Linked DNA regions of Elephas maximus indicus. The protein of the gene in region 1 interacts with the protein of each later gene in a pairwise test. Links are inferred from orthologs where the notes say so. Each region holds a gene or a part of one and is shown in the gene's direction. Other genes may lie near its edges.

Evidence for each region.
Region 2: the proteins of EFS (region 1) and SORBS2 interact in binary tests that used the Homo sapiens proteins (3 or more experiments, as listed by UniProt). The two-hybrid records come from large-scale screens. The link is inferred for Elephas maximus indicus from reciprocal best matches to the Homo sapiens genes EFS and SORBS2.
Region 3: the proteins of EFS (region 1) and TSSK1B interact in binary tests that used the Homo sapiens proteins (3 or more experiments, as listed by UniProt). The two-hybrid records come from large-scale screens. The link is inferred for Elephas maximus indicus from reciprocal best matches to the Homo sapiens genes EFS and TSSK1B.
Region 4: the proteins of EFS (region 1) and OSTF1 interact in binary tests that used the Homo sapiens proteins (3 or more experiments, as listed by UniProt). The two-hybrid records come from large-scale screens. The link is inferred for Elephas maximus indicus from reciprocal best matches to the Homo sapiens genes EFS and OSTF1.

Annotation. Positions count from the first base shown.
Region 1 is NC_064828.1:34,695,119-34,702,972, reverse strand, and holds the start of EFS (embryonal Fyn-associated substrate), read left to right. Parts: upstream 1-4,273; 5' UTR 4,274-4,501; coding exon 4,502-4,519; intron 4,520-7,854. UniProt on the Homo sapiens protein: Docking protein which plays a central coordinating role for tyrosine-kinase-based signaling related to cell adhesion. May serve as an activator of SRC and a downstream effector. Interacts with the SH3 domain of FYN and with CRK, SRC, and YES.
Region 2 is NC_064840.1:80,608,134-80,615,972, forward strand, and holds the start of SORBS2 (sorbin and SH3 domain-containing protein 2), read left to right. Parts: upstream 1-4,471; 5' UTR 4,472-4,527; intron 4,528-7,839. UniProt on the Homo sapiens protein: Adapter protein that plays a role in the assembling of signaling complexes, being a link between ABL kinases and actin cytoskeleton. Can form complex with ABL1 and CBL, thus promoting ubiquitination and degradation of ABL1.
Region 3 is NC_064840.1:34,810,457-34,818,486, reverse strand, and holds TSSK1B (testis-specific serine/threonine-protein kinase 1), read left to right. Parts: upstream 1-4,810; 5' UTR 4,811-6,502; coding exon 6,503-7,603; 3' UTR 7,604-7,797; downstream 7,798-8,030. Other genes in the region: DGCR2 (integral membrane protein DGCR2/IDD), read right to left, coding at 3,544-3,622. UniProt on the Homo sapiens protein: Testis-specific serine/threonine-protein kinase required during spermatid development. Phosphorylates 'Ser-288' of TSKS. Involved in the late stages of spermatogenesis, during the reconstruction of the cytoplasm.
Region 4 is NC_064827.1:91,299,633-91,307,840, forward strand, and holds the start of OSTF1 (osteoclast-stimulating factor 1), read left to right. Parts: upstream 1-4,956; 5' UTR 4,957-5,167; coding exon 5,168-5,201; intron 5,202-8,208.

The DNA of each region.
Region 1 (7,854 bases):
AGTATATTCCAGGCACAATTGTAAATACTAAGAATGCAGACAAGGACAAGCCAGATAAGATTGCTGCCCTGTTTCAAGAGGAGACAGATGATAAACAGGCAACAAGGTAATTTCTGATAGCAGTAAGTGCTATGAAGAAAATGAAACTCGATTAGAAGATAGGGAGTTACTGTTAGGGGAGAGGTCACAACCTCGTCTCGGTAGGCCAGGAAAGATCTTTCTGAGGATGAAGATTTTGACATGAAGATGGAAAGAGCCTAGGGGAAGAATCTTCTTAGCAGAGGAAGCAGAGCATGCGGCGTCCTAAAGGTGGGAAAGAGTGTGGCATATTTGAGAAACAGAAAGGACCATGTGGATGGAAAGCAAAGAATGAAGGGGAGAGGGGAATGAGATGAAGACAGTGGAAGAGGGCAGAGACCAGATCATGCAGAGTCTGACAGGCTATGATGGAGCATTTGATTTTATTCCAAGCGGGAAGGTTTTAACTGGATTCAGGTATGATCCACGGGATGTGAGGTCCTCAAGGGCAGGCATCATATTCTTCACATTCTGGCACCAAGTAACACCCACATGGCTGGCACCAAATAGTAATAGTCGTTCCTTTTATCCTACATTTACGCATCATGGGCCAGGCACTGTTCTCAGGGTTTAAGATTAACTCTGAATCCTCAACACAAGCCAGTGCTATTGGTTCCATTATTAGCCCCATCTTACCGACAAGGAACCAGAGCCTCCAAGAGGTCACGTAACTGGACAAGGTTACATAGGTCCTGTTAGAACTAGGATGAGAACTCACACCATCTGGTGCTGTGGAGACCCAAAGAGAAGGGGATTGGAGAGACCAGGGAAGAATTAATGAGCATCTGAGAGGGCTTAGGTAGCAAGAGGAACAAGGACAAGTCCAAGAAGCCATGCGGTAGAGCAAGGAAGACACAGCTGGTCAGACCCTGCTGGGGAGGAGAAAGACTGGGAGAGAAGACTGGAGTCCTGAAAGCTGGATGGAGTTCCTTTCTTTCTACCCACTGAACACAGCAAGGGTAGACTCTCAAACTGAGGGCCAAGCTGCCTGAGATTGCAGCCCACCCAAGGTCTTAGCTGCCCACTAAACCTGAGTTTTCTCCAACCTTACTTGGAGCTGAGAGCTCTCCCTAAACAAGTTAGAATAGCTTAAACCTCTGTGCAAAGGAGAGGCCAGAGATGAGGCCTAAGGACAGAGAAAAGGCTCCTCCTGCCTTCACAAAGGGCATGAGCTTATGAAAGCACAAGTTAAAGGGGGAGGAAAGGTGAAGAGGAAAAGCCATGGAAGAAGATCGTTGTGCTAGGCACTTTACATATATTTCCTCCTCACCAAAGTCACTGTTTCAGATGAGACGCTGAGACTCAGAGATGTTATGTAACTTGACCAAGGTCACACAGCTACTAAACCAGAATTCACGCCGGAGTCAGACTGGCTCCATTCATGCTTGGGGACTCCAGAACACAGTCATATTTCCCTGGTTTGTACTCTGATATCTCTCATCCACATTTCCCCAGGCACTGGGCTACACGCAGTGAGCCCCACTACTCATCTCCCAAGCCACCAGTCTTCCCTGGCCCTAGCAGCTTCTTTCCTGCTTAGCCTTTTCTGGCCTCCACCTATTTCCTTTGGTGTCAGTTACAGCATTCCTCTTTGAACACAGGGTTTCCTGCCCACCTCCACCTTGGACCCCAATTTGCTTTGACAGTCCCCTGGGCAGAGACCATACCAGTTACCCCACCCCCCACCCCCCACAGCTGAATGTCTATGCTCCAGGTGGCCAGCCCCCACCCCCTCCTCTGCTCTCCAGGGCTGAGGTCTGGAGGTTGGAGAACCTTCCCTAGTGGCCACTTCAGATGAGGATGGAGCTGGGATGAAGGCACTCTCCCTTCAGATGTATCTGTTCCCATACTGACCTAATGGAGTCTGGGTCTGTTCAGGATGCACCCCATCTCTGAGCCAAGCCCAGAGCCAATATGGTTCATCCCCACGTTCACCCCAGCATCTCTCCCTAACCCTCATAGGCTCCATCCCTCGCCTCTGCAGAGGGATCCTCATAGGTGCCCAGGCAATAGGGTGGTGAAAGAGCTGGCACGGGTATCCTCCCAGTGTCCTGGGAAATGCCTGGATATGTGGATCTGCGGAATGTGTACGTATGTGGCGAGGAGAGCACAGTCCAAGTCCTCAGGTTCCAAAAGGGCCTTAAATTTAGACTTCGGATGTTATCTCCTAAGGAGGTTATACACAGAGCCATTGTCTATGTGTTTGAAGTGTTAATTTGTTAAATGTAAACACTGAAAAATATACCACAGCTTTCAACACTGTTTGGTGTCTCCTTTTTTAAGGACCAGGAAACTCAGAAATGGAAGTAGGTAGGGTTCCCTCAAGCCTCTGGTGTGTGCCCAGGAGGGAGAACCAGGAGAAAGAAGTGGCTGGAAAGAAACAGGAAATCTAAGGAGTAACAATAGGAAGGGCAGAGAGGTGTGGGGGATTAAAAGAGCCCTGTCATTTCAGCTGAAACTCCTTGGGGTACAGATCCTAGTCCTTCTAAAAGAGTTTTTGCCCTTCTGTGCCCGTTGTCACCACTCCTGCTTCTCCCAGGCAGCACGGAACCAGAAGGGTTGAGGGCGGGGGACAGGCCCAGACTGGCAAAGTGTGATAGGCTACCCAACCGGCCCTTCTGCAGCTCTGGGGCCAGGAGCTCAGGCTTCACGTTCTCCTGCCAGTGCCAGAATCCATGCCCAGCCCCAGACTCCAGCCTGTTCCCCTCAGGAACAGCCTGGATAACCCTGTCATCCAAGGGAGGGGAGAGGCTCTGCAGGGGACCCCAGTAAGGCGGAAGGAGCACGCTCCCTCCCAGGGGAAAGACAGATGTGGGGCTAATGAAAGGAAGGCAGAGAGAGGCGCGGGGCTGGCGGAGGAGGGCGGGGGCGTGGCAGGGAGAGGAAAGCTCCCAGCGGGGAGCTGACCAGACCACCGGGAGATCCGCCGCGTAGTCGGGAAGACGGAGGCGCGGAGCAAAGGGGCCGGGAGGGGGAGTGCCGTTTGGCCCGAGGGTCCGGAGCTGAAACTCAACACCCGCCTTTGGAGGGATCGTCCTCCTTTCTCCTCCGCCCCCTCCCTTTTCCCCTCCCTCTTTTTCTTAATCCCCAGGACTGAGCCGCGCGTCGGAGCGGGCCGGAGGGGAGGAGGAAGAAACTGCACTGAGAGGGAGCCAGGAGCCCGGGAAAGGGAGGGTAGCCGAGAGCGGGGGGTGAGCCTGGGGGCCACGCGCGACCCCCGGAGCCTCCCAGCCCTCCTGCTTCGGGGGGGACCCTCTAAGGGTCCCTCCCCAACACCCCCCAGGCGAGTCCACAGGACCTTAGCCACTGCTCTCTTTCGCCTTCCTTTTGCTTCTTCTTTTGCTTTGTGGTCTTTCCCTTCGTTCCCAGAGACACCTGGGAGGTGCCGAGGGGCCCTGCCTAGGGTGCGTGCGAGCGTGGGCTGCGGGGCCCGCTTCGGGTGCCAGGGGGCAGAGGGTGCGAGCGGTCGTGCGCGGCCCTGCGCGCCAAGGCCGAGGGTTGGAGGAGGGCGGCGGGCCCCTCTCTGCCTGGCCGCCAGCAGGAGTTGTTCAGGCCGCCCCGCCTCTACGGGTTGTGCCTGCGTGCGGGCTGCTGCCAGGCGACAGCCGGGGGCGAAGCACCGTCGCGGCGCCCCCAGGCTCCCCAGCTTGCTTACAGCGAGCGTGCGAGCGTAAGCCCGCCGCATTGCCTGTGGTGCGAGCGTCTGGGCAGAAAGCAGCCACTCCAGCAACCCAGCCCAACGGCCACGCTCTCGGAGGCCTTTGGTGGCAGCCCGGCCTCCCCACGCTAACTTGGGCGAGTTTGAAGAGGGACAAAAGTCTCAGTTCTCGCTCTCCTGCTCTCCCAGCGGGTGCCGCCGCAGTGTCCTCCGGTGCCCCGAGCAGTGGTCTGGGAGTCCCACTCTTCTGCGCGCCCCCCGGGTGGGAAGGGTTGATCCCTAAACTCACTCGTCCAGCTCAACCGCCCCGGCGGCCTCTCCCAGCCCTTGGGGCCGCTCAGAGAGGCCTGGAGAGGCGTCGAGTACAGCCCCAGCTCCCGCCTTCTCGCCGGTCCGGGCCCTAAAAGGGAGCTTTAGGCCCATGAGGGTCCGGTAAGCCTCCGCGGCCTAGGGCAGGCAGCCCCGGGGGCCTTGCCAGCCTGGTGGCCCCCGGGACAGTACATAGCGCGCGCCTTTGGATAAGGTCCCGCAGCGACGCCCCGACCCGCCTCGCTCCTCCTCCTGCCTGGCCAGGCTGCCTCCCATTTGGAGAGTTTTGTGGATTTTCTTTCTCCTCCTCCAACTTCGGCGGAGGCCACGGCTCAGGCGCCGCAGCCGGGGGGCGCCTCCTCGCCTGGAGGCAGTGGACCATGGTGCGGGTCAACCGCTGCTGAAGTCAGCGAAACCGAGCCTGGCCTGGAGCAGGCCACGCCAGAGGCCGAGCCCATGGCCATAGCCACGTCGGTGAGTCCCATCAGTGAGAGGAGGCTGCCGAACAGCGACCTCCACAGCCTGCCATGCGGTCCTGTCACTTTTATTTCTTCCTCTCTTTGTCTCTCTCCTGGGTCCCTTTCTTCGCCAGAAGGCTGTCTCCCCTCCTCTCACTTTTGTTCCCCTTTCCTTCTCACTTATCCCCTGCGCTCCTACGGGTTCTGAGTTGCCCCTCCTCCCCTCCCCCTCCCCATTCTCCTCTATTCTTTCTGGAGGCTGCTCTTGGAGCAAGGGGAGGGGGCAAGTGTAACCAGAAACCTATCTGCTTTCCTGGGCGGGAACAGGTGGCCACTTGTGGTCGGCAGGGGCTTGTGATTGGGAGGCTAGTAAAAGGTTGGGAGGGGGCTGAAAGGATGTAGTTCAGGGAAAATGGGAGAGGCCAAAGGACTCTTAGAGGCCCATCTCTAGAGGAGGGACGGAGGAAACGGGGGAAATGGAGCAAAGAAGGACGCTCTGGCAAGAGAAAGAGAAAATAGAGGGAGGAGGGGAGGTGATGTCAGCCAGCCTCAGGCCACTTTCCGGGGACTAGGGACAAAGGGAGGAGACAGCTGGCTGGATGGGACAGTGGGAGGCGGCCTCCCAAAGAACAAGTGGTCCACGGCCACCCCCATTAAGCCAGCCATTCCCTCACAAGTCGGCTGGGCCCTTGAGAAGGGGGTAGAGCAGGGGTGGGCCACACCCATCATCAATCCGTCTATAACAACTCTGCCCATCGTTGTTGTTGTTGCTGTCGTTAGGTGCCATCAAGTCAATTTTGACTCTTAGCTACCCCATGTGACAGAGTAGAACTGCCCCATAGGGTTTTCTTGGCTGTAAGAAGCAGATTGCCAGGTCTTTCTCTAGTTTCCTGTAATTGCAAGCCTGGGTTGTTTGGCCCCATTGGACAGAATTCAAACCTAACAGGAAGGAGTACTTCACAGCCCCACCTCTGCTTTCTGTCTTATGCCCTCTGTAGCCTGAATCCAAGTGATTCCCAGGGAAAGTGAGGCTGCCACCAGTGTTCTGGCCCCCCTCTGCTTGGGAACTCTGGGAAGGAGGATTGTGAAACTGGAAAGAGAAACGGAGAGACATCCATCATCTTCCCATACCCCTGGAGGGGGCCTGCTGGGTTTGAGTTTGGCACCATCTCAGACCAAACTCCTTTTAGTTTCTCAGTCTATGTGATGGTGAGAAGACCTTAGCTCAGAGCCAGAGAGGGGGAGGTCGTAAAATAGTAGGGGCACTGTGACGTAAAGATGCTGGCTTAGGAGCCAGCTGGTCAGCTTTTAGTCCCAGGAGGTAGATTTTTTTCTTTTACTCAGAAGTGAGGAGGTCCAGGGAAATGACTTACACTAATCAGACTCTCAGAATCCTAATAACAGCTAATATTTATTGAGCATTTACTACACCTGGCACTATGCTAAGCTTTCTCGTGGGTTTTTTTTTTTTTCATTTAATGTGAAGTCCACAGTTTAATTGTTAAAATGTGTGCCAAATCATATGTTATTCAAAAGAACTTGAAAAAAAACAATATTTTTGACAGCTAGACTAAGAAATCTAACCCTTCAGTGTCCTTAAGTCATTTTTTTTTTTATTGTGCTTTAAGTGAAAGTTTACAAATCAAGTCAGTTTCTGATACAAAACCTTATATACACCTTGCTATATATTTTTTTATATATATACTCCTGGAAACCCTGGGGGAGTAGTGGTTAAGTGCTACGGCTGCTAACCAAAAGGTCGGCAGTTCGAATCCGCCAGGTGCTCCTTGGAAACTCTATAGGGCAGTTCTACTCTGTCCTATAGGGTTGCTATGAGTAGGAATCTCCTCAACAGCACTCGGTTTGGGTTTTTGGTTTTTATATACTCCTAGTTGCGCTCCCCCTAATGAGACAGCACACACCTTCTCTCCACCCAGTATTTCTGTGTCCATTCAGCCAGCTCCTGTCCCCCTCTGCCTTCATATCTCCCCTCCAGACAGGAGCTGCCCACATAGTCTCATGTGTCTACTTGATCCAAGAAGCTCACTCCTCACTAGTATCATTTTCTTCCTTATAGTCCAGTCCAATCCCTGTCTGAAGAGTTGGCTTTGGGAATGGTTCCTGTCTAGGGCTAACAGAAGGTCTCGGGACCATGACCTCCAGGGTCCTTCTAGTCTCAGTCAGACTATTAAGTCTGGTCTTTTTACGAGAATTTGAGGTCTGCATCCCACTGCTCTTCTGCACCTTTAGGGATTCTCTGTTGTGTTCCCTGTCATTGCAGTCCTTGGTTGTAGCCAGGCACCATCTAGTTCTTCTGGTCTTAGGCTGATGTAGTCTCTGATTTATGTGACCCATCCTTTCTCTTGGGCTCATGCTTACCTTATGTCTTTGGTGTCCTTCATTCTCCTTTGCTCCATGTGGATTGAGACCAACTGATGCATCTTAGATGGCTGCTTGCTAGCGTTTAAGACCCCAGACACCACTCTCCAAAATGGGATGCAGAATGTTTTCTTAATAGATTTTATTATGCCAATTGACCTAGATCTCCCAAGAAACCATGGTCCCCAAACCTCTCATGGGTTTTTGATGCATTATCTCACCCACAACCTCACAAAAACCCTATGGGGATAGTAGTATTATTATCCGAGTTTTACACAGGAGGAAACTGAGGCTCAGAAAGCCTAAACAGCCTGCTCAAAGTCACCCAGCTAGAAAGGGACAGAGCTAGGACTCAAACCCAGGTCTGCCTGCCTCTGGAATCATACTCTTAACCCCCTGGCTAGATCTAAAACACCAGTTTATAATTTACATTTAGAAAGAAACATGCTGAGCTAGCCAGAAATCTATGTCATCTGGTTTGCATGTTTCCATTCTGTGGAACAATATCCTTTAGAAGCCAAAATATAATGAAAAAATGGTTTGATGAGTTTGGAGTCAGGCAAGAGGAGAAGTTAGTTTGTTGTTAAAGTCAACCAGCCGTGAAGGGCTGGACAACCTCTCCACAGAGGGAAACACCCACCAGAAGGCACATGCACTCATGCCGAAGGAACAGGGCAACCTCCCCAGGGCCTGATGGTCAAATGCAGCCTGTTTGAGGTCTTCAGCTTGGGATTTTTTACTGAGTTGGTCAGCACACGGGGATTACCTAGTCAGTACTCCCAAACTACCTGCTGTCCACCACCACTGCCTGGGGCCCTGCCAGCAGCCATGGTCACTTAGCTATCATAACTTAAGCAGAACAGGTAATTTGGCATTTTGAGTGGTTTAAACTTGATTCTGCCAAAGGATATCCTGGAACCCGAGCACTGTGAAGGGTTACTAGCAAAGGGAAATTGGGCATAATGAAGCCTC
Region 2 (7,839 bases), on another chromosome or scaffold:
TGAAAAGGAAGAAACTATGGACAATCTCCCTTTCAACGAATGTTGCCAGTTCTTACCTTGGTTACTTTTCTTCAGCAAAGGAAGTTAGAGGCTCAGATTAATAAATGTTGCTGAGAGCAACCAGAACGCAGGCATTTATTTATATTATGCTTTACTCAAAAGTTTTTTACTTTTTTTTTACTCAACACACTAATTTTCAGAACAAATGTTAGGACTGGAGGTAAAGGGAGAAATCATGCCAGGAAGTATGGCAGCATTTGGTAAAATGGGCCAGGCTTTCCTGTTGGGGATCCTTCAGAGTCACCTAAGTATGGACTATCAGGTCTTCATTTTGCAAGTCACTACCAAGGGTGAGCCGTTGTATGGATTACAACTCTTTTTTTCTCAGCTGGGAGCAGACACAGAGCCCTGGTGGTGCAGTGTTTAAAAGCTCAGCTGCTAACCAAAAGGCCAGTAGCTCAAATCTGCCAACTGCTCCTTGGAAACCCTATAGGGCAGTTCTACTCTGTCCTATAGGGTCACTATGAGTCCGAACCAACTTGAGGGCAACAGGTTTGGCTTTTTGGTTTAGTGGGCAGGAATGAGGGAGCCCTGAGTTTGGCCTAAGAGTGCCCTGGGGGGGTTGGAGGAGGGGCATATCAGTGTGGCCCTGGGCTGAAGAAGGCTCCTGGATGGTGTGGCAGGAGAGAAACAACTGGAGAACTGACCTAACTGGGTGCAGAAGAAGGCCACCTGGGCTGGGTGTCACCATAGCACCTGCCTTGCACAGTGATCAAGCCTTGACTCCATCTGGGAAAAGCGTTTTGTCCGACCGTTAACATAAAAACAGAAGTGACCTGACGATATAGAACAAGGCTACCTGGGCTGGATGTCACCGTAGCACCTGCCTGGCACAGTGCCTCATCAAGCATTGGCTCCATCCAACCGTTAGCATAAAAACAGGAGCCAACGTCTTGATCGTTAAACATCAATGGCTTCAACCGTAAAACTTACCCTCCCCTCCCACTGTCTCCAGGTCCTCAGTGCCTCCAGAACACCCATTCAGTCATGATCACTCACAGACCAAGGAAGACTCTTAAATGAAACAATGGATTTGCTACTTGTTTTAATCCTGATTGCCTTTGGTGTAGAGTGTATTTTTTATTTAAATTCAGTACAAGCTCACAGTTGAGCTACAATAACCACATGAAGGCTAGTCATTTTTCAGGATGACAAAACTACGAAGTTTGTTGAGATTGCTTTCTCATTGACACAGTGCCCGAGCACTCAATAAATGATGATGAGGCAAGCTATTTGGGCCTTTTACAGCAGGTCACTTCCAATGCCACCACAGCAGAGCGCACCCACACATGGATGCTAAGCCAGGTTGCCTGTGTGTGGGACGCGGTCCTACCCTTGGACCTGTGTGACTTTGCACCTGTCCATGCTGTTTTCACACCTGTAAAATGGGGAGAAATAACAGGACCCACCTGTGTGCTATTGGGAAGATGACCTGAGTTAGGACATGTATGGGTTTTAGAAAGAGCCTGCCATGTAGTAAGCATGCAAGTATTGACTTCAGTAAATACTATAATTGTATTGCTGGGAACTCAGGAACATTGAGATTGTATAAAAAATCATATTTTAAACTTTTCCGTGGATATTTGTTCATTAAGACTGTCAAGTAAGCTGAACTCCATTGAGGTACACACACAGAGTTTTAGTTATCTGAACCCACCAGCACTCCTCGGGAGAGAGAGGTGGCAGTCTGTTTCCATAAAGATTTACAGCCTTGGAAACCATATCGGGCCGTTCTACTCTGTCCTGTAGGGTCTCTATGAGTCGGAATCCACTGGATAGCTGTTGGTTTCGTTTGAGTTTGAGTGAGTAGGTAAAACAGTTATTTTGGTCCATCATAGACTAAGGGACAAACACACACACAGAGTCAAATATTTTAATGATATAATCCAGGGATGATAGTTTAACTAAATTTTAGCATAGAAGCAGAATACATTTTTTTCTGTGAGATAATCGTCTGATATTATTCATAACCAGGTAGTTCAATCAGAATGAGGACTAGGAGGGTCTTAGGGAAGGGGTCTGCCTGGTGTGGGTGTGTAGAATGAAGACATGGAGGGGCTTGGGGGGAGGTCTGCCTGGTGTGTGAGTACAGAATGAAGACTAGAAATGGCTTGGGGAGGGGTCTGCCTGGTGTGTGTGTGCAGAGTGAAGATTGGCAGGGGCTTGGGGAGGGGTCTGCCTGGTGTGTGTGTGCAGAGTGAAGATTGGCAGGGGCTTGGGGAGGGGTCTGCCTGGTGTGTGTGTGCAGAGTGAAGATTGGCAGGGGCTTGGGGAGGGGTCTGCCTGGTGTGTGTGTGCAGAGTGAAGATTGGCAGAGGCTTGGGGAGGGGTCTGTCTGGGGTGTGTGTGCAGAGTGAAGACTAGCAGGGCCTTGGGGAGGGGTCTGTCTGGTGTGGGTATACAGAGTGAAGACTAGCAGGGGCTTGGGGAGGGGTCTGCCTGGCGTGGGTATGCAGAGTGAAGACTAGCAGGGCCTTGGGGAGGGGTCTGCCTGGTGTGGGTATGCAGAGTGAAGACTAGCAGGGCCTTGGGGAGGGGTCTGTCTGGGGTGTGTGTGCAGAGTGAAGACTAGCAGGGCCTTGGGGAGGGGTCTGTCTGCTGTGGGTGTGCAGAGTGAGGACTGGCAGAGGCTTGGGAAGGGGTCTGTCTGGGGTGTGTGTGCAATTTGCCTCTTTTCCCCTTGTCATCAGAATCGTTCCATTTAGGAGTGGAAGCTTTCTCCCCAGATTTGCAGATATCTGAAAAAATTGTATTCTGCCCAGGAGGGAAAAAATAGCTCACTGTGATTTCTTTGAAGCAAATCTCCTGGGATGTCACAATGGGGTGTTTATTGCTGTTGGAGGCTTGAGGCTTATCTCCAGGAACAGGCACTGTGTCTCACATAAAGCCTGGGCCCTCCTTCCCAAGGCCTTGATTAGGCAGCGTCTCCTGAAGGGGTGTGAGGACCCCTGACGTGTCCCCACCCATGCCCCTCACTTCCTTCCTGATCTGAAATTCCTATCCCTGGAGTCAGTCCTGGGTTTAGAAAATACAAATGACTTGCCTTAGGTGCCTCATAGTTCACCTGAGGGGAACATGTGTTCAGCTTCTCCTGCTGGCACATTTTAAAGCCATAAATGGCCAGATACACTGCTGCACCCTACAAGCAGCAGTGAGAGGTCTCCGAAAGGTGCTCTTCAATTAGCAAAGAGTCTTGTCAATGGAAATGTGAATTGCAGAGAAAGAAAAGATTATCAAGAGCTGATATAAGGACTAGAGCCCTGGTGGTACAGTGGTTAAGAGCCGTGTCTGCTAACCAAAAGGTCAGTAGTTCGAATCCACCTTGGAAACCCTGTGGGGCAGTTCAGCTCTGTCTCACAGGGTCACTCTGAGTTGAAATTGACTCGACAGCATCAGGTTTGGTTTTTTGGTTGGTCAAGTGATTGTTTGACAAGAGGGACATGAGTCCGGCCACGTTGCACAAAGAACTGGCTTTGGGGGAGAGAAGGCACCAGAACAATTGGTGGGGGTGGGGCCGAGGCCACCTGGGGAGAACTGACCTTATAAGGCAGGAAATGGGAGGTGCGTCCCTCTTGCCTTTTATACTCCCCTCCTCTCCAATCCCACACCACACAGATATGGAAAGGACCAGAAAAGCAGAGCGGGAATGGGAATGGCGGTCACAGAGAATATTAAACTATGCTTTTTGCTCTACTCCATGTTTCTATTTAATTAAAATGCTGGTCAGTGGTCACACATGAAGCTTTGTTAGAAAAACATTGTATTAGATAAGGGGCAAAGAAAGAGAAAATGAATCAACAAAACGAATCAGGGGCTATCAAAGCCGTCCTGCCTGCTTCATGCCCACCTGAGACCAACCTGGGTGACCCAGCCTAGATTTACCCTCTTCCAGACATTACTAAGGAACCCTGGTGGCACAATGGTTAAGCTAACCAAAATGTTGGAGGTTCGAACCCCCCAGTGGCTCCACAGGAGACAGACCTGGTGATCTGCTCCCATAAATGTTGTTGTGTTGTTATTGTGTGCCGTCGAGCTGATTTTGACTCAGCAACCCCTGTGACAGAGCAGAACTGCCCACCGGGCTTCCCAGGCTCTAATCTTTATGAGGCAGTTCTACTCCGGCATTAGGGCCACCATGAATCAGAATAGACAGGATGGCACACATCAACAACGTAACTACTAAATGGCGACCGATTGTGGTACGTAACAAACTAAAAATAATGACAGGGATTTTGCAGAGTTTCCTTTTCAGGATTTTTTTTTTCTGAAAAATAGGTACCAAAGTTTGTAAAGAAAAAGGTATACAGTGATATAGTTATGTCTTCCTCCGTTTGGTCTCGATGCTATTTTGGCTGTTTTGTGACTCAGGGCAGATCCCGCCCACCTACTTATTATAATATTTCTTTTCTAGAGCCAGAATAGGACAGACTCCTATACCGTTCTGATCTGGGTGCATTTCTTCAGCAGGTATGCTGTACTCCTGGGGAACTGTGTCTGTCTGGGCCTGGGGCTGACAAGGCCAGGAGGAAATCTATGTCTGCGTTATATCAGAAAGATTTCTCAGTCAAGTTAAGAAAATAAAATGGTGGGCACCAAACAATGTGAGGGTCCTCTGACCTCGCCTTGACATGTTCTTCTCTTAAGTTTCCAGCAGAGTCTGTGGCTCGAGACTCTGCACAGAAGCACTCAGTTTAAGCTGATACATTTGAAGGAGTTATAGGAAGCCAACGGGAACCAGGAAAGCAAAAAAAAAAAAAAAAAACCCACTGCCATCAAGTCTATTCCAACTCATAGCAACCCTATAGGACAGTGTTAAAACAACAACAACAACAAACTCCTTGCCATCGAGTCGATTCCGACTTATAGCGACCCTATAGGACAGAGTAGAGTAGAACTGCCCCGTATGGCTTCCAAGGAGCGGCCTGATGGATTCAAACTGCCGGCCTTTTGGTTAGCTCTTAACCATGTGATTGGGGAGAGGGCTTATTTCAGTGAAATATTTATCCTGGGGTCATCGGGAGCATTGTAAGGAAACTAACCTTACACCCTTTCCCTGAGAAGCCTTCTTTTTGGTACTCCTCAGTAACAGCCATTTCCCACGAGCCTCTACCTGTTAGGGCTGATGCCTCTTGCTCATTGCGGCTTCACGAAGGGACAGGAAATGCTCACGTCACCACGCCCAGCCCTGCTACCAGCTCTCTACACCCCTCCAAAAAGAAAAACCAATGTTTCAAAGTAGGCTCGTTACAGTGAGCTGATAAAGAGAAGAGGAGGGAGAAGAAGGGAAGGTCTCCTACTGGCTAATCTTTACCTGATAGATCAAACGCTGCCCTTCCTCCCCCTTTACTGAGACCTACTGATACCAGGTTACTAGGTGGTCTCTGGGCTGGCAGCTGAAAATTTAGTTTTTGTGGGTAAAAAGAAAAACATTAAAATCAAAGTGAGATGTCTGTTATTTATTTTTCTCTTTGATATTACCATGCAAACAATTTATATGAGCATCAGTCTCCACTGAACTTCATTTTCTACCAATACATTACTTTTAAAAAGACAATTTTGACTTCCTCAGTTGTAAATCAGGTTTTAAATGTACATATTTTTCAAGAAAAGAGGTCAGAATTGATAAAATTCATTATCTGCCATAGGGCTAAATTGTTTTTTTGTTTTCTTCATTGTGGCCTGTTATTAAATTCTTCTTTGGTGTCATTCACCACCAGCTGTGCGGTACTCTCAGTCCTCCATCCGCACATTGATTTGAATGGATACCTAACCCCAAACCCAGTGCTGTCAAGTCAATTCCAACTCATACGGACCCTATAGGACAGAGTAGAATTGCCCCATAGAGTTTCCAAGGAGCGCCTGGCGGATTCAAACTGCCGACCCCTTTGGTTAGCAGATGTAGCGCTTAACCACTGCACCACCAGGGTTTCCAGTGGATACCTAGTGAGAACAAAAAAAGGGACAGTCTACTTTCTAAAAGCCAGTGCTTAGTCATTGCATCAGACTTTGTATAAGGACGAAAAGAATCCTACGGAAAAAATAAATACCAAAAGGCTTAGTTCGGTATGACAGTGCAAAGACATTTTATAAATATTTTGATAAGTAGATACAAGAGGGTGATTTGTGAGGGGGTTATTTGCATTATGCTACATCTCAACGTTAGTTGAAATTCCTCATTTGCATTAAGTATCTGAGTTGTTTTCCGTTTGGAGGAATGTTCTAGGATCCAGCTCTTCAAGTCCCAAACCAAAAAACCAAACCCTTTGCCGTTGAGTCAATTCCGACTCATAGCAACCCTACAGGACAGAGCAGAACTGCCCCATAAGGTTTCCAGGGAGCGCCTGGTGGATTCACACTGCCGGCCTTTTGGTTAGCAGCCATAGCTCATAACCACTGGGCTACCAGGGAACCCTGCCCACCTTACATCCTAGGTGGGCAGTATTATCAGTGTCTGTATTTGAATCTGTCAAGAGGAAACTGTGTATTGAGCTAAGCTCTGTGTATCATTCACCAAGGAAAGGATTTAAGTTAACCACCAGGGCTGAGCTTAAAAAAACAAAAGCCATTAAAAGGGCGTGGGTGCTTGACCTTGAGGAAAACCTATAGAAAAAGGAGTGGCAAGAGCCATTTGTTCTCTAGCAGAAGAAAACCACCCTGTTTGGAGGTCTCCTTGTGAAAAATACTCAAGGGATACTGATTTTTTTTAAGATATAACTTTATCATTGTGTCAGTAACAATGGGGTTTGGATAGAACACAGACACACAGCTAGGCCAGGACATGCCTACTCCAGGCTTCATGAGGGCTGGTACTTGCTCACCTGTTGTCAGATGGCAGGCTAGGTGCCCAGCGCCCCCTCCCAAGGGTCTGAGCTTGTGACCGCAGGGGCAGGGCCCTGGGCTGCACCATCCAGGTATTCTGGCTCTGATGCGCCTGATACAAACTTCACCACTGCACCCTGGGCCTCCTCCCAGAGGCTGCGGCAGTTCCAGGAGGAAGCTCTGCCGGCCCTTTCTGGGAAGAGCTAACGGAGACTGACTCGCTCAAGGACGCCTTGTCAGCCACGGAAACGATGAGTCACGAGCTTTCTATCACAGTTCATTGAATGCATGCTCTGCCCCTTTGCTCTAAAGATTCCTAAGTGCTAAAAGTTGTCTCAATTGTCCTAACAGTGCCCTGGGAATAAGAGAAGGCAGATTTCACAAAAGAAAAAAAGGGGCTGATGTTTTCTGAGGGGCTTCAGTGGCACTGGGAGGGTGGGGAACAGATCCAGGACAGTGGAGGCCCCAGGCTCCCAGGCCAGTGCTCTACCCCACCAAGCTGCACCAAAGAAAAATGCTTTGATAATATAGACTACAATGAAGAAAAGAATTTTTAAAAAATTATTCAGCCTATCCCCCAGATGATAAGATGAACATTTAGGGAGGTTTCTCTCATTTATTCTTTTAAATTCATGTTTACTTTATAAAAAGACAAAATTGAATTTGCACTGTCTATATTTTTTTTATATTGATTTGCTGGTGTAGTGGTTAAGCTACAGCCCCTAGCCAAAGGGTGGGCAGTTCAATCCCCCAGGCGCTCCTTGGAAACTCTACGGGGGCCGTTCTACTCTGTCCTATAGGGATCGGAATTTACTTATTTACTGAAAAAATGGCCTGTGAGGCTAGCGAATTTACATTTTCAAAGAATATGTAATGTTATGGAAAAATATTCTAGAAACACTGAAATGAAAGTCAATATGCAAATCAATACCCACTAAAACCCACTGCTGTTGAGTCGAT
Region 3 (8,030 bases), on another chromosome or scaffold:
GTACATGTAGAAATTGTTGAAATGGTGTACGTTCTGCTGTGTGTATTCTCAACAACAACAAAAAATGGATCTGACCCTAGAAGATGACAGAAGAGAAGAGAGGTAGACTCACCAAGCATTTCTATTAAGTCACTGACACCTTCAAGAAAAGCACAGCAAGACCAGACTTAATGGTCTGACTGAGACTAGAGGGACCCCAGTGGTCATAGTCCCGAGACCTCCTGTTAGCCCAAGACAGGAACCATTCATTTCCAAAGCCAACTCTTCAGACAGGGATTGGGCTGGACAATGGGATAGAAAATGATACTGGTGAAGAATGAGCTTCTTGGATGAAGTAGACACGTGAGACTATGTTGGCATCTCCTATCTGGAGGGGAGATGAGAGGGCAGACTGGATCAGAAGCTAGCCAAGTGGACATGAAAAGAGACAGTGATGGGAAGGAGTATGCTGTCTTATTAGGGGGAGAGCAATTAGGAGTATACAGCAAAGTGTATATAAATTTTTGTATCAGAGACTGACTTCATTTGTAAACTTTCAATGAAAGCACAATAGAAAAGAAAAGAAAAGCACAGCAACCTGCAAGCAGTCTATATTTTATGGTGAGGGGAATAAGACCAGGGCAAAAGAGGGTGGGGCAGAAGTAGAGTAACAGCTATACCGCATGTGATGTAATATCTACCAGCAGTTTCATCCAACGCTCATACCACATTTTAATCAGAGGCATGATGTGGTATTTGGACGAGAAGGCCAGCTGACCTCAAGAGAAACAACAGCCATAGCAAAATCAGATTTCTGAGTGCACATTTTGTGTGCACTCAAGTGCACAGGCAGTATTCAAATGGTTAAAATACATTTTTATTAATTTATTTTATTTGTATTTACAGACAACATGATTCCAGAGATTCCACAAGAAAGCAACTGGACGTAATAGAATTCAGCAAAGTAGCAGGGTACAAGATCAACACAAAAATAAGCCGAGTTCTCTTACGCTAGCAAGAAACTCCAAAATCAAGAAAAAAATACCATTTACAATAACCCTGAAATGATAAAATACCTAGGAATAAACATAACCAGGAATGTAAGGGATCTACACAACGAAAACTATAAAATACCACTGCAAGAAACTAAAAGCGACAGAAGAACATTCCATGCTCATGGATTGGAAGACTTAGACTTAACATAGTGAAAATGTCAACACAACTCACACTCAAGTATGGTTGTAAGCCAAGACCCCTGATAAAAAGAATCCAGGCTATGACCAGAAAAGCATTTCCACCCCCTAGCACCAGCACGGCGGACCCTGCCTGGCACTCTGAGGAAGGACACAGGGTAAGCATGTGAAGGGACACACACAGCACACAAGAGAAACATCTGACCAGAGGGAGACCCACCCTCATTGCCAACTGGAGCCAGGGTTTTCCAGGGCCATTCAAGATACCCCCAGGGGCTCCTGCAAAGTTCTGATTTGGAGGGACATGGAATTAAAGGGTTACTACGCTCCCCCACCAGAACTACTCCCCCCAACTCAGACCTAAGTGTGAGGTCTCCCAGGAAGTCTGCTTCCCCAAGTACAAATGGCTGGTCCCTGCTTGACCGGCCTCAGAGCTCCCATACTAGTGGGGCTTACCACACAGTAGTGAAAATGTTGATTTACACCTGGTCTCTGCTTCCACACCCAACCAGAAACCAAACCTGTTGCAGTCCAGTTGATTCTGACTCATAGCGACCCCATAGAACAGAGTAGAACCGCTCCACAGGGTTTCCACGGAGCGCCTGGTGGATTTACACTGCTGACTTTTTGGTTAGCAGCCATAGCTCTTAACCACTATGCCACAGGTTTCCGCTTCCACACCAGGTACTCCTATATGGAGCAGTTGTTTTCTCTTCTCCATCGTTTGAGTATTCCTAACGCTGGGCATGCAGCGAGCACTAACAGATACCTTCTAAATTGCTGCTGGCTGGCTGACAATTCTGTGGACAGAATGGTAAGGCAAAAGCAGCCTGGGACATTGGTCACCAGTACCAGTCAGGCAAGAGATGCTAGACCTGGAATCAGTGGACCCCAAAAAAGACAGGTACCTTTACCTCTCAAGCCCAGTGACCCAATCTGCCAACCTGGGGCCTGATTACTGGGACCCAAGACATGACGACCTTCACTTCTCCACAGGTTTATACATGCAGTGAGCAATTAATCACAAGAACCCACACAGCCCATATCGTAACCTCCCTCCACAGGTGCCTCTGTCCTGGCTTCCGTTCCCCCCAAGACACACTCACAACCAGTCATCTCGCCACCCAGAAAGCAGTGAGCAACCAGCTCTACTAGTGGAACAAGAAAAGGATCACTGAAGACTCTGGGTTGAGCATGGGCCCATGGCCTTGGCTACCATGTAGACACTGGGGAGGAGGCAGAGCATTCCATGCAAATGGCAAAGACAAAAAGCCCAGAGGTGCAGGAGTGGCAAAAACCCTTCCCCCTCCCCCCCCTCCCACGGCTCTACACACTAGAAGATGGTGGACACTTATGCCTTCAAGGGCCCCTTCCTCCATGGAAATAGTAAGAACTATACTTTTTGGTATAAAGATGAATGTGTTAGTACATATATTCAAAAAATTTTGTTCGACCAAAAATTAGTTTTTTCCTTCTGACTTAAAACGTTTTTGAGGGCCTCTAAAGCATTGTGGTTCCCAAGCTAGCACTGTGTCTCCTAGATCACTTAGTCCTGCATGTGCGGGATTTGTGTGATTGTCTTAGAACAGTTCAAGAAGGAGGGGTACATCAGGAACAGGAGAGAAAATTTATCAGGAGCCTTCTGATTCTCCACCACAGACTCATAAAAACACAAGCTCCAGAGAAGTTCCAGAAACATTTAATCATTCGTGGCATAAACTGAGCACACCTAAATGCCTGGCACTGTTCGCGCTCTGGCGACACAGCAGCAATGCAGTCTCCAGAAGCTTGCTTCCTGCACAGGATGCTTCAAGGACTCCTAGTACTTCCTCTGGGCCCGTCTCTGAGCCGAGTACTTCTCAAGCGCAACACCTGAGTGACAATAAGGACACAGCTACCGCTTTATAGCCGAGGAGTTCCTAGGACTGAGACGCCGGCATGAAGCCACTGCCGGGCGGAAGCATATGAAACCAGGTGCCTCCACGAGCTGCGCTCTCGCCCCCACCCCCAAGCCTGACACCAGACGCTGGACCCGCAAGGAGGGAATGCTTAAGAGTTGCAGCTCCTCGTCTAAAGGACTCCCAGGCCCCAGAAGTAAAGTCGAGTCATGCAAATCATTCCCGCTTTCATCAATCTCAAAGCACGCAGCTCTCAATAAACGTGGATCCGAAGGGAACATCCCCCGAGAACAAATTTCCACGATGTATAAGGCGTCTGGACCCAGGTAAAACTCACAGCTCGGTACCGGGAGTGGGGCGCGTGGCTGCCCGAGACCCAGGCCTCGGCCGGCCCCTTCCCGTTGGAAGGAGATCCCGGGAAGACCCTGGCCGCGCCGCCGCACCCCCCACACCGCCCCCACCGCGCCGCGCACCTGGCCGCAGCGGCTCGGTGACGGTGAGCACGAGCAGGAAAAGCAGGAGGAAGGCACCGCTGTCTGCCTTGGGCACCATTTATCCTCCGTTCATTGTCCCCGGGGCGGCCGCGTGACCCCGCGGGGAGGCCGGACTGGGCCGGGCTGAGGGGCTGGGCGCCAGGGACGGACGCGGAAAGGCAGCGTGAGAGGGCTCCGCTGGGCTGCGGCTGCGCTAGGCCGCCAGCTCGCGGGCACACTAGTTCTTAGCCTCTGGCTCCGACTCCGGCTCCGGCTCCACACAAGATGGCGGCCGTCCTGTTCGGCGCCGCGCTGCGCCGCCCCGCCTCGCCTCCCGCCGCGACGCCGGCGTGGGCCAATGGACACAGGGGCGGGGCGGGGACCGCGTTCCCAACCGCTTGAGGACCATTGGCTCAGGGGGCGGGGCCTGGGTGGAGGGCGGAGCCTGAGCGGCAGTGGCTCGGCAGGAGGGGCCTAAGGGAAAGACGGTGGGGGCGGGGACTAAGGGGCGTGCCCGAACGGAAGGGGCAGGACTACAGGGAGAGTAGCATACTATTAGCGAAGCAGACAGGTGGGACTCGGGGGCGGGACCTGAGCAGCAGAGCCTCCCAAGAGCTTCCGGTCCCAAGGCACAGGGGAGGGGCAGCGAGAGCAGGACCACAATGACGGGCACAGAAAGGGGCGGGACACAGAGGGGTGGGGCCGCGGGGCCTGTGGGCAAAGGACACGGTGGCCCGCGGGCGTGTCCACCAGGCAGAGCGTAAAGGGAAAGGGGCGGGACGCGGAGGGAGTCACGAGGGCGGTGGATGAACAGGGACCCTGGGACGGGAAGATCTTCGCACCTTGCACACCTGCAGGTCCAGTCAGCAGCCCAAGGGTGCGCCCTAAACCAAAAAATCCGTTACCATCAGGTCGATTCTGATAGCGACCCTAAAGAACAGAGTTGAACTGCCCCATAGAGTTTCCAAAGCTGTAATCTATATGCAAGCAGACTGCATCATTCTCCCGTGGAACAGCTCTAACAGACTTTTATTAGCAAGGGAGCACTTAACCACTGCGCCACCAGGGCTCCTTGGGTATGCCCTAGAGTGGTCGTTCTAAGTCCAAACCGCTACAGAGGGAGGAGGCAAGCTGGAGGGCCTGGGCTATCTTTAAGGAGGTTGAGGGTTGGGTGAGGAGGGTAAACCCTGACAGGCAAGTGCGGCTTCACAGCCACACACAACTCAAAATGTTGCAAACAGATGAGGAAATAGCCTAAAAGAATTGAATCAAAACAAGAAAAGTTACCAGATCCTAAAGACACTAGTGCAAAGCTGGCCTCTGGAGAAAGGGTCCTGCTACCACAAACCAAATCTGCATGGAGGAAAGCCCCATGTCTTGAGCAGCTGCTGGGACAGGGATGACAGCTGAATGGCTCTGGAAACAGTGCTCCTAGTGCAGGTCTCACACCTGTCATCAGTAACAAGGTGAATGTGGAAGGGCAGCTGCAGATGGGGGTGTCCTCAGCAAGACCACCAGCCATGTGTGAAAGGCCTGCCAGAGGGTGTCAGTGCTGGGGAAGAAGGGTTGCTGAGAAAGGGGGAAGGGCCAAGGTTGGTGGGGACCTGGCACGCCCCAGCCCGGCAGACTTCCACCCCACTGCCCAGAAGCAGCCCTCCCATGCCCCTTACACAGCTGGGGGCAGCTGAGAGAGGGGTGCCCATTCAACCTGGGTGGGTAAGGCCACAGTCGAACACCACGTGAGGCCTGGAGCATGCGGTGGACAAAGGACCTATCCCAGCAGAGGGGCCCCACTGCCCAAGGAAACAATGTCCCCTGCCCAGTGCTGCCCTTGTTGTTTGTACCTTCAAAGTACATACCCAGGAGCAGCTGCTGGCACCCAGAGCAGGATCCAGTCCCAGCCTTCTGACCCGGCCTGCTCTAGGAGCCCAGCCAAGGAAATGGGCTGGGCAGGGCCTGCAAGGGGCCTCAAAAGCCAGGAGCAGAAGTTCCCATCAGTTGTCCCCCACAGAGCCACTGCCAGAGAAGCAGGCCCACAGAGCTTCAGATGAGGAACAAGCAGCACAGGAAGGTGGAAAGTCCAGCCACAAAGTTCAGGGAGAGAGCAATCCTGGCTTCTTCCTACAGCAGCAGCTACTGCTGGGCCTCCTGATTCACCTCCACACTCTATACCCTGCTGGGAGGCTGCCTGTGTGGGCCGGCCACGTGGGATCCCCAGCAGGAAGGTGGAGGCAAAAGAGGTCAAGGAACTGCTCCCCCTTTGTCCCCCCCTTTCTTCCTCTGGGGACACTGCAGGCTGGCTTTTTCCCTCCCTCTACTGAAGATCACTGCCTCTTTCCAGGTAGCCCAGGTTCCAGTGATCATTCCCTCCCTCCTTCCATGTGGGCCAGGGGTCATTACTAGCCTCAGGGTACTGCACTCTGCCCCCACCTTTGTAAATAGTCCCATTATTAAGCCTCCTCAGATGATCTTAATCTGAATATGTCTTCAATTTCCTGCTGGGACCATGACTGATACAGCCCTGGGATTCCTGGAATGCCCCAATTTGCAATCATCACCCCATCGGTTCACAAGCAGTCCTGGCTCTGGGCCAGGGAAGCATGGGCACACCCATGAATCCCCATAGCCCCTACCTCCAATCCCAGGCTGGCATGAGACCACTCTCTGCAGGCTTTTGGTCCACTCCAGCACACTGCCCGGCCTTCTAGGTTTCCAAGGCCAAGCAGCACAGGCCAGAGCCTCATTCCCCCAGGGCACTCCTCCTTTGTGACTTCACCCACTGAAGTCACCTGGGAGACAATGCTGAAAGTTCCAACCCAGACTTGGCCTCTAGGAGGCAGAGACAGGGCTGGGCCAGCCCAGAGGACTCTCTGTCCACAGTGTAAATGAGGATACTGCTGGCCCATGTCCCGCAGGGATGTAGAGGGCAGCCCCAGAGGCACTGGGCGCTCCCGGCACCATGGATGACGCCGCCGTCCTCAAACGACGAGGCTATATCATGGGGATAAATTTGGGAGAGGGCTCATATGCAAAAGTCAAGTCTGCTTTCTCCGAGCGCCTGAAGTTCAATGTGGCGGTCAAGATCATCGACCGCAAGAAAGCCCCCACAGACTTCTTGGAGAAATTCCTTCCCCGGGAAATTGAGATTCTGGCCATGCTAAACCACCGCTCCATTGTCAAGACCTACGAGATCTTCGAGACTTCTGATGGCAAGGTCTACATCATCATGGAGCTCGGGGTCCAGGGCGACCTCCTTGAGTTCATCAAAACCCGGGGAGCCCTGCACGAGGATGATGCGCGCAAGAAGTTCCGCCAGCTCTCCTCAGCCATCAAATACTGCCATGACCTGGATGTTGTCCACCGAGACCTCAAGTGCGAGAACCTTCTCCTAGACAAGGACTTCAACATCAAGCTGTCTGACTTTGGCTTCTCCAAACGCTGCCTGCGGGACGACAGTGGCCGACTCACGTTGAGCAAGACCTTCTGTGGGTCCGCGGCATATGCAGCCCCCGAGGTGCTACAGGGCATCCCCTACCAGCCCAAGGTGTATGACATCTGGAGCCTGGGCGTGATCCTCTACATCATGGTCTGCGGCTCCATGCCCTACGACGACTCCAACATTAAGAAGATGCTGCGCATCCAGAAGGAGCACCGTGTCAACTTCCCCCGCTCCAAGCACCTGACAGGTGAGTGCAAGGACCTCATCTACCGAATGCTTCAGCCAGACGTCAACCGGAGGCTGCACATCGACGAGATCCTCAGCCATTGCTGGGTGCAGCCCAAGGCACGGGGCCTGTCCTCCGCGGCCATCAATAAGGAGGGGGAGAGTTCCCGGAGCACCGAGTCCCCATGGACCCCTGATCCCATTTCTGACAAAAAGTCTCCCACCAAGCTGGAGCCACGGGAAGAGGCTGGGCCCAAAACAAGTCCTGAGGAAGAGTCAGTGGAAGTGTCAAGGCAGTCGGAGACCCTGGGCTTCAATGGTGAGCGTGTGGCCAGTGAGCCTGAGGAGGGGGCTCCCCAGCCCCCACAGCAGCCTTCAGAGACGCACAGCCAGTAAGCCTCTCGGCCCAGGGCGCCAGCAGGGAAAGAAGCAGAGCTCACGGCGTCCAGTCCGAGCTCAGAAGAAACCAAGGGACAAGCCAGAAAATGAGCACAGTCCCTGATGAGCCACTATTTTCATTAGCTTTTCCTCCCTTCGTCTGCATTCCATAACCCACATGGCTAAAGAAGCAATAAATTACAGACTATATTAGTGCTGATCCGTAGGTGAATGTCTTTACTCAGCTAAATGCGGTCGCCCAGGGAGAGGAGCCTGGGCTGTCCCTGGCTTCCTACTCTAGGTTTGGGAAAATACATGCCAATGTGTCCAGCCCAGACTGTGATCTCAGGCCCAGGCTGCACAAGTCAGGTGGGGGCGGGAGGTCTGGAGGAGCAACTCCCAGAGCAGAGAGCTGAGAAGAAGATGATGCTTCCAGAGAGAGGCC
Region 4 (8,208 bases), on another chromosome or scaffold:
AAAGACTTGAAAGCAGAGACTCAAACACATACTTGTATACACCAGTGTTCATTATAGTACTCTTCACAATAGCCAAAAGGTAGAAACAACCTATATGCCCATCAACAGATGAATGGATCAACAAAATGTGGTACATACATACAATGGAATACTACCCAGACAGTAGGAGAAATAAAGTCTTGATACACTACAATATGGATGGAGCTGGAAGACATTATGCTGAGTAAAATAAAGAAATCACGAAAGGACAAATATTGTACGACCTCACTTATATGAAAAGGCAAATGTATAGAGACCCAAGTTTATTAGTGGTTACCAGGAGTGGGAGGAAGGGGGAAAGGGGGTCTTAACAGTGATGGAAATATCTCATTGATTAAGGGTGGGGTTGCACAGCTGATTATTGTCATTGCTGTCAGTAAGTTGTATACCTGTGTTATGAATTGAACTGTGTCCCCCAAAATGTGTCAACTTGGCTACGCTATGATTCCCAGTATTGTGTGATTGTCCACCATTCTGTCATCTGATGTGATTTTCCTATGTGTTGCAAATCCTACCTCTGTGATGTTAATGAAACAGGACTAAAGGCAGTTATGTTAATGAGGCAGGACTAAATCTGTATGATTAGGTTTTGTTTTAAGTCAATCTCTTTTGAGATACAAAAGAGGGAAGTGAGCAGAGAGACTTGGGGGCCTCATACCACCAAGAATGCTGCGGCGGGAGCAGAGCGTGTCTTTTGGGCCTGGGCTTCCTGTGTGGAGAAACTCCTAGACCTAGGGAAGATTGATGACAAGGCCCTTCTTCCAGAGCTGACAGAGAAAGAAAGCCTTCCTCTGGAGCTGGTACCCTGAATTCGAACTTCTGGCCTACCAGACTGAGAGAGAATAAATTTCTCTTTGTTAAAGCCATCCAACTGAGATATTTATGTTATAACAGCACTAGATGACTAAGACAACCTGTAAAAAGTTGAATTGGCAAAAATTGTGTGATAGATAGACTTACAAGAAGCGCTCCCCCCCCCCCCCAAAAAAAAAAGAGTAGCTGCTGAGGCTGCTTATGTACAACCAAACACCTCGGGGATTTGGTTCCTTGGTTTGGAGGTTTAGGGTCATGGTTTCATGGGACATTCCAGTTAATTGACATAACAACATGTTTAGTGCTTCTGTTCTTCCTCCTACTTCATGGCATAGTGCCTGGAGTCTTAAAAGCTTGCAAGGAGCCATTCAAGACACAACTGGTCTCTACTTACCTGGAGCAACAGAGGAAGGAGGAGAGTCAGGAACAGGAGGATACGGAATGTGTGGCTAATTGCCTCCATGAACAACTGCTTCTTTTGCCATAATAACTGAAGAAATGGATGGTGCCCAGCTACCATTACTGAACATTTTGATCAAAGATTCTACGGCAGAACGCTGATGAAAAGGTGGAAAATGCAGAACAGAACTTCAAATTCCCATGGACTCTAGACTTTGCAGAGCCATGAAGGTTCGATGAACCCTGAAACTCTTGCCCTCAAATAATCTTCAAACCTTAAACCAAAAATATCCCCTAAAGTCTTCTTAAAACCAAACAATAGTTTAGCTCAAGTAGTAAAAAATGTCTACTGTGAACACTATGCTCTTTTAAGAATTATCTGTATGGGATCAAACTGACAACAGAAAGTTTACATAGGAACCTTAGGGAGCAGTGAATTTATGTCAATTGGGGAGGTACAAGTCAGAAAAGGCGGTGAGAATGGTTGCACGACTGGAAGAATGCAATCAATGTCACTAAATGGTAAATGTGGAAGCTGTTAAAAAAAAAAGTAAAAAGAGTTTTGAGGCCCCAAATGATAGCAGTAGCAGATACCAATTTTATCAACTCGATATCAACTACAAACTGTAAATCATCTGATATCCTCAGGGAGAAAAGCATCTGAACTTTCCAGCCTCATCAATACAGGGTAGCCTTTCACTAGGAGTATGTGCCAACTTCAATTCTGCCGAATGTTTATGTAGTTTATTCTTCCAATACATGCAAAGCTTTCCTCAGCAGAAGAGAACATTTGTGTCAAAACCCAAAACCAAACCCATTGCCAGGGAGTTGATTCCAACTCATAGATGAATGTTTGCACGGGGCAGTTAAAAAGAAACTCAAAATGAATAGTTTCATTACTTTAAAAAAAAATCCTAAGTAAAATGTGCTATCGAGTCTGTTTTTCATGATTGTAAGCTGCCATCGAATGTGCCGCCAACTCCTGGTCACTCCATGCACAAAGGAAAGAAAGGTATGCACGTTCAGTTGGGGATTGAACCATTGTGATCCACAGGGTTTTCACTGAATTTTCAGAAGTAGATTGCCAGGCCTTTTCCCTAGTCCATCTTAGCCTGGAAGCTCCATGGAAACCTGTTCAGCATCATAGCAACACACAGGTCCCCACTGACAGACAAGTGGTGGCTCCAAGTGAGGAGCAATGGCCAGGAATCCAACTCAGGTCTCCTGCACAAATGGCAAGAATTTTACCACTGCACCTAACACCACTTTCTCATAAAGGGTATGTGTTTATTCTGTTTAATTCATTTCACTAACAACGTGGTGCATTTTGGATTCTAAAGTACAGAATGGTCAGATTGGCATGTCCAGAATCAGCTGGCTGCAAAAATGACAGAAGCTCCCTAAGTATGAAGGACGGAAGACAATGTGGGGGCAAAATGTTGTAATTTTCAAATGACTTCAAAGAGCTGTCTGCATTTAAAAAAACAAGAGTGAAATGTTTTCAGGACTCTTTATACATTTATTTTATCCAACAGTGTTACAGATTGAATTGTGTTTCCCCCAAAATGTGTGTCAACTTGGCTAGGCCATGATCCCACTATTGTGTGATTTCCCACCATTTTGTCACCTGATGATTTTTCTGTGTTGCAAATCCTACCTTTGTGATGTTACTGAGGCAGGATTAGACGCAGGTATGTTAATAAGGCAGGACTCAGTCTATAAAATCAGGTTGTATCTTGAGTCCAATCTCTTTTGAGATACAAAAGAGACAATCTAGAAGAGAAGATGGGGACCTCCTACCACCAAGAAAGAACCAGGAGGGGAGCGTGTCCTTTGGACCTGGTGTCCCTGTGCTTAATAAGTTCTTAGACAAGGGGAAGACTGTTAACAAGGACCTTCCCCCAGAGCTGAGAGAGAGAGATAGCCTTCCCCTGGAGCTGGCACCCTGAATTTGGACTTCTAGCTGCCTAGGCTGTGAGAGAATGTTTCCCTTTGTTAAAGCCGTCCACTTATGGTATTTCTGTTACAGCAGCACTAGATAACTAAGACAGATATTCTGATTATCTTCTTCCATGAGATAGGACAGCAGTTTTCCTACTATTCTTTAAACTTTGCTCCCTTTTAGTAAACATGGAAATTGCCCGGGGCTGCCGCCATGGAATCTCCGTATCTTTTACCAGCCACTACCAGAAATGCAGAGGAGTCCCGGGGGCGGTGGCACAGTGATTAAAGCTCTAGGGTGCTAAGTGAAAGGCACTAAGGCTCTGGGGGAAAGACGTGGCAGTCTGCTTTAGAAAAGACTTACAGCCTTGAAAACCCTACCGGGCAGTTCTACTGTCTTATAGGATGGCTATGAGTCGGAATTGACTCGACAGCAACGGTGTTTTTTTTCATAGGATCGCTATAGTCTGAATCGACTGGACGGCAGGCAGTAGGGTTGGGTTTTTTTTTTTAAATACCAGAAATATTGGAGCTTCTTTTTATGTAGGCTCTGATGTAAACAGTTACTTTCAATTTTTCTTTCACCGAATGTACAACGGGCTTATAGTATTTGACTGTGCTATTTCGGAAATACGCAAACTGCCTTCCTTATACGATCCAGCCCTTCCTCCACTGGAAATTCAATCTGCTGGGAAATTCAAACTGCTCTGCAAACTTTTTCTATCAAGGGCCAGATAGTAAATATTTTCAGCTTTGAGGGCTGCCACTGAACGCTACCTTTATAACGTGGAGGCAGCCACAGAAGATAAATAAGCAAAAGTGTGTGGATGTGCTCCAATACAACTTTAGGGACAAAAGAATTTGAATTTCATCTAATTTTCACGTGTCACAAAATAATCTTTTTTAAAAATTTCTTTTCAACCATTGAAAAATGTAAAAACCATTCCTAGCTCGCGGGCATTAGTTGGTCAACTTCAGTCCTAAGAGGCATGAGACTCTGCTCCCGTCTGACACGTCCCTAGTGACGTCTCCCAACTACCAGTGCGGTATCTTGGCTGCAGTACTCCTATTTTAAAGATTACTATGTGACCTTAAAGCGCTACGCCGTCATGAGTAAACGTTCTCCTGGACAGGATATTTATTAGGCCGTTTAAGGTAGTAAGAGTCCCAAGAGGGTCTGCAAAACCCAATGTTGTCCTGAACTCCGGCGCAGGGACATTCTGGAAATACCTCCAAGCCACAGCAAGGGGGCGCGACGCGGCAGGGTCACGCAGGTACTCACCTGGCGCCAGTTCGAATCCTCCCAAGCTAAGCGGCGGAGGCGATTACCAAATGTGCGCTTGATACTAACTAACCCGCCGCTACCCACAGCTCGCTAACCGAGAGGCCCACAACCCCTCTCCCCGAGCCCACTCCCAGGTTGGAGGTGCCCAGGTAAACGTCGGCACGGGGTGGATCCTTCCTACTAAGCCCGGACGCTCCTCCAAGGTCCAGCCTCCCGTTGGGGCGGGGCGGGGCCTCGGCGAGCGTGTCCTGGCGCGCGCGACCTCGCGCGGGTCCGGCCTTCTTCCGTGAGCGGCGCGCGCGCGGGGGCCATCCTAGCCGTGCCTGCGGCGCCCTTGTTGGACTCCGCTGGTTCCGCTGCGGCGCGCGCCGCCGTGCGCGCCGCCTGTGCGCCTACCGCGGCGGGGCTGCCAGCCCGGGAGCCAATTAGCGCGCGGCGAGGCGGCGGCCACTTCCTCGTCGTCCGGGCCGCGCGCTCGGGACTGCTCTGGCGACCGCGGGGCGGGGAAGGGCACGGCGGAGCCGCTCTGCGTCCGCGCCTCCTGTTACCAAGAGTGGGCGCAGGTCCTTGAAGGCGCAGGACTGCAAACCAGACAAAAAGAAACTTCGGGTTCCCTGGAGTGTCGGCGGACGGGAAGTTTGGTTGGCTTTTTGTGCGTGGTCTTTAGGATTTGCCAGTCCAGGAAGCGAGATGTCGAAGCCTCCACCCAAACCAGTCAAACCAGGTAAGGAAGGTGGTTGCCGAGTCCTGGCTGTCTCCTCGCCCGCGTTTCCTCTGCCACTTGGCAGGGCAGACCTGGCACGTCCCCGGCCCCGAGCGTCGCTTTCGGGATCGGACCCACCAGGGTGGTAATTGCTAGCTTTGTTGCGTTTGCTATAAGGGATAGATCATTTTTGATAGCAGAAGGATTTCGAGGGTTTTATTTTTATTTTCTAAAAAGGAGTCGCCTTTTTTGCAACATTGTCATTCGCTGTAACTTTACAGCGTGTATGGTGGTTACGTCCCATTGAAGCTTTCCGGGCAGAAAGAGCCATCGATCCCATTTTATAAAAAAAAATTAAATATTTCTTGAAATGGCCTTTTAGCCACTTCCTCTTTTTTCAATATGTGTCACTGTCAAGTTAGAGTTCTTGACCGGCCAGAGCGAACGGGAAGTGCGCTGCTAGCAGGGTGGGGTGGGCGAGCGGGGCTCCTTCGGGACTTTTGAGAGGAGCCGCGTATGAAATTGACTTCGGGATCTTAGGAAGCATTTTAGCAAGCTCTGTACTGGTGCTTATGGCAGGAAGAATCTAGGCTGCGGCAGAATAATCTCGGCTGTTAGTATTCGGAAGGAATAGTTTATCGTCGTAGTTCCATGCGATGAATTTGCAGCGGATGAGATTGCTGAATTTCCCAGAGCAGCTTTCGAGACCGATAAACCAAAAACCATATGAATCTTGGCCAATAGTCCTTGGTAATTTTTGACTCTGTTCCTAGAATATTTTCGGTGATCTGGAGAAATAAGAGAAATTAAAAAGAGTCTGAGGTGTTTCAATTCCATACTGTAACAGAAATGAGGTCCTATGTACATTCATTCGGGTAGATAATTACGGAAAATGTAGGAAATGCAAGGTAAAAGGCTCCAATGTAATCCCAGGATTTTCTTCCAATCTCATGTAACTTCATTATAGAAAAGGCTGAAACTTACATCAAATTTTGAAGTAACTTTCATTGCCAAAGGTAGAGTTTCAAGGATTAAGAATTTTTTTTTTTTTAACTTTTCTATGGTTATCCAGTTTTGTTTCTCTGCAGTGGGGGTATTAAGTCTTTATAATTGAAGATTTTGTACCTACTCGCTCTGGTGGCACAGTAGTTAAGAACTACGGCTGCTAATCAAAAAAGGTCGGCAGTTTGAATCCACCAGGCGCTCCTTGGAAACCCTATGGGGTAGTTCTGCTCTGTCCTATAGAGTCACTATGAGTCGGAATACACTCAATGGCAATGGGTTTGTTTTTTTTTGGTTCGCATGGGTGGAACAGTCATTTATTGAAGACGAAAGTTTTGGTGGGTTGGGTGTGAAGGAAGCCGCCCAGGCCTTGGGGTGTGGGTGAACAGAGGGTGTGACTGGAGTTAGACTCTATTAGATGTGGAAACTGATGAGGAATTTGCATTTTAAGTACATATGCATGAGGTGAGGCCCTGGTGGCAAAGTGGTTAAGTGTTTGGCTGCTAACCAAAAGGATGGTAGTTCAAATCCACCAGCTACTCCTTGGAAACTCTGATGGGGGCAGTTCTACTCCTATAAAGTTGCTGTGAGTCAGAATCGACTGGATGGCAATGATTTTTTTGTTGTTGTTGCTTTTTTTTTTTAATGCATGCTGTGGCAGCTTTCTAAATTCAGATGTAAATCAGGACCTCAAGTATCCAACGAAGCAGAGTTTTTTAAATGATAGCTAAACAAAGTATTTTAGAGAATGTCGTGAATAGCTGTTTATGAGGTTCTTTTTATCTCCAGACATTTTAAGTGATGTCTGTGTTGCATCTGCGGGCACAGTGGTTAAGCGTTTGGCTGCTAACCAAATCCACCAGCCACTTCTAGGAAATCCTGTGGGGCAGTTCTGCTCTGTCCTGTAGGGTCTCTGTGAGTTGGAATTGACTCGGCCATTTTTTGGGGGTGGGGGGAGGTTCTGCATCTGAGTAGCTGGCTGGTGCAAACTAAAGTGCTGCTCAACTGCTAACGAAAAGGTTGAAGGTTCAGGTAGACTCAGGTGCCTTAGAGGGAAGTCCTCGTGATCTACTTCCAAAAAATCAGCCGTGAAAATCCTATGAAGCACAGTTCTTACTCTGACACACGTGGGGTTGCCATGAGTTGGGGTCAATGCGATGGCAACTTTTTTTTTTTTTTTTTGGTGCTGCATCTGGAGAGACAGTGACAGTGATGTGCGTGTACACAAACATGCACGCACAGGTATGGTTTAGGGATCATCCCTTATCCAACTAGGGATACACACTCCCAAGAATCATCCTTGTTTTCTGACCCCAGTGCTTTCTCCTACTCTGTAAATCAGAAAGCAACTGGGTGAATGAGACTTGTTTGATAGAGAACTTTGACTCCATGCGAATTTATAAATGAGGTTCGAATGCCAGTAAGGTCACCACTGTAGAAATGAGTTTGTCACTTTACTACTTTACAGTGAGAACTAGTATTCTCAATCAGACATGAATCTTTGTGTGGGCTGGCTTAATAATTAATTGAAAGCAGAACTGTCCTGTTACGGTAATGGCCCACACTTATTGTATGCCAGGAATGAGTCTAACCACTTTAACCTACATTCACTCGTTTACTCCTCAAAACAACCCTTCGAGGTTGATACCATTATCGCTGCCATTTCAAAACAACTCTGTGGTGTTGGTCCATTATTTGTTGCCTTTTTTTTTCTAGTTGCTCTTGCTTCAGCTCCAACTCATAGTGACCCCATGTGTGTCAGAGTAGAACTGTGCTCCAGTAGGGTTTTCAGTGGCTGATTTTTTGGAAGCAGATCCCCAGACTTTCTTCTGAGGTGTCTCTGGGTAGTCTCAAACCTCCGACCTTTCAGTTAGCAGCCAAGCACCTTAACAGTGTACACCATGGAGAAATGAAGGCAAGGCACAGGAAGGTTAAGTAACTTATCCAAGGTCAGCAGCTGGTGAGGAGTAGAGGGAGAGCAGAATTAGAACCCAGGTTGTCCAGCTCCAGAATCTGAGCTCTTAAC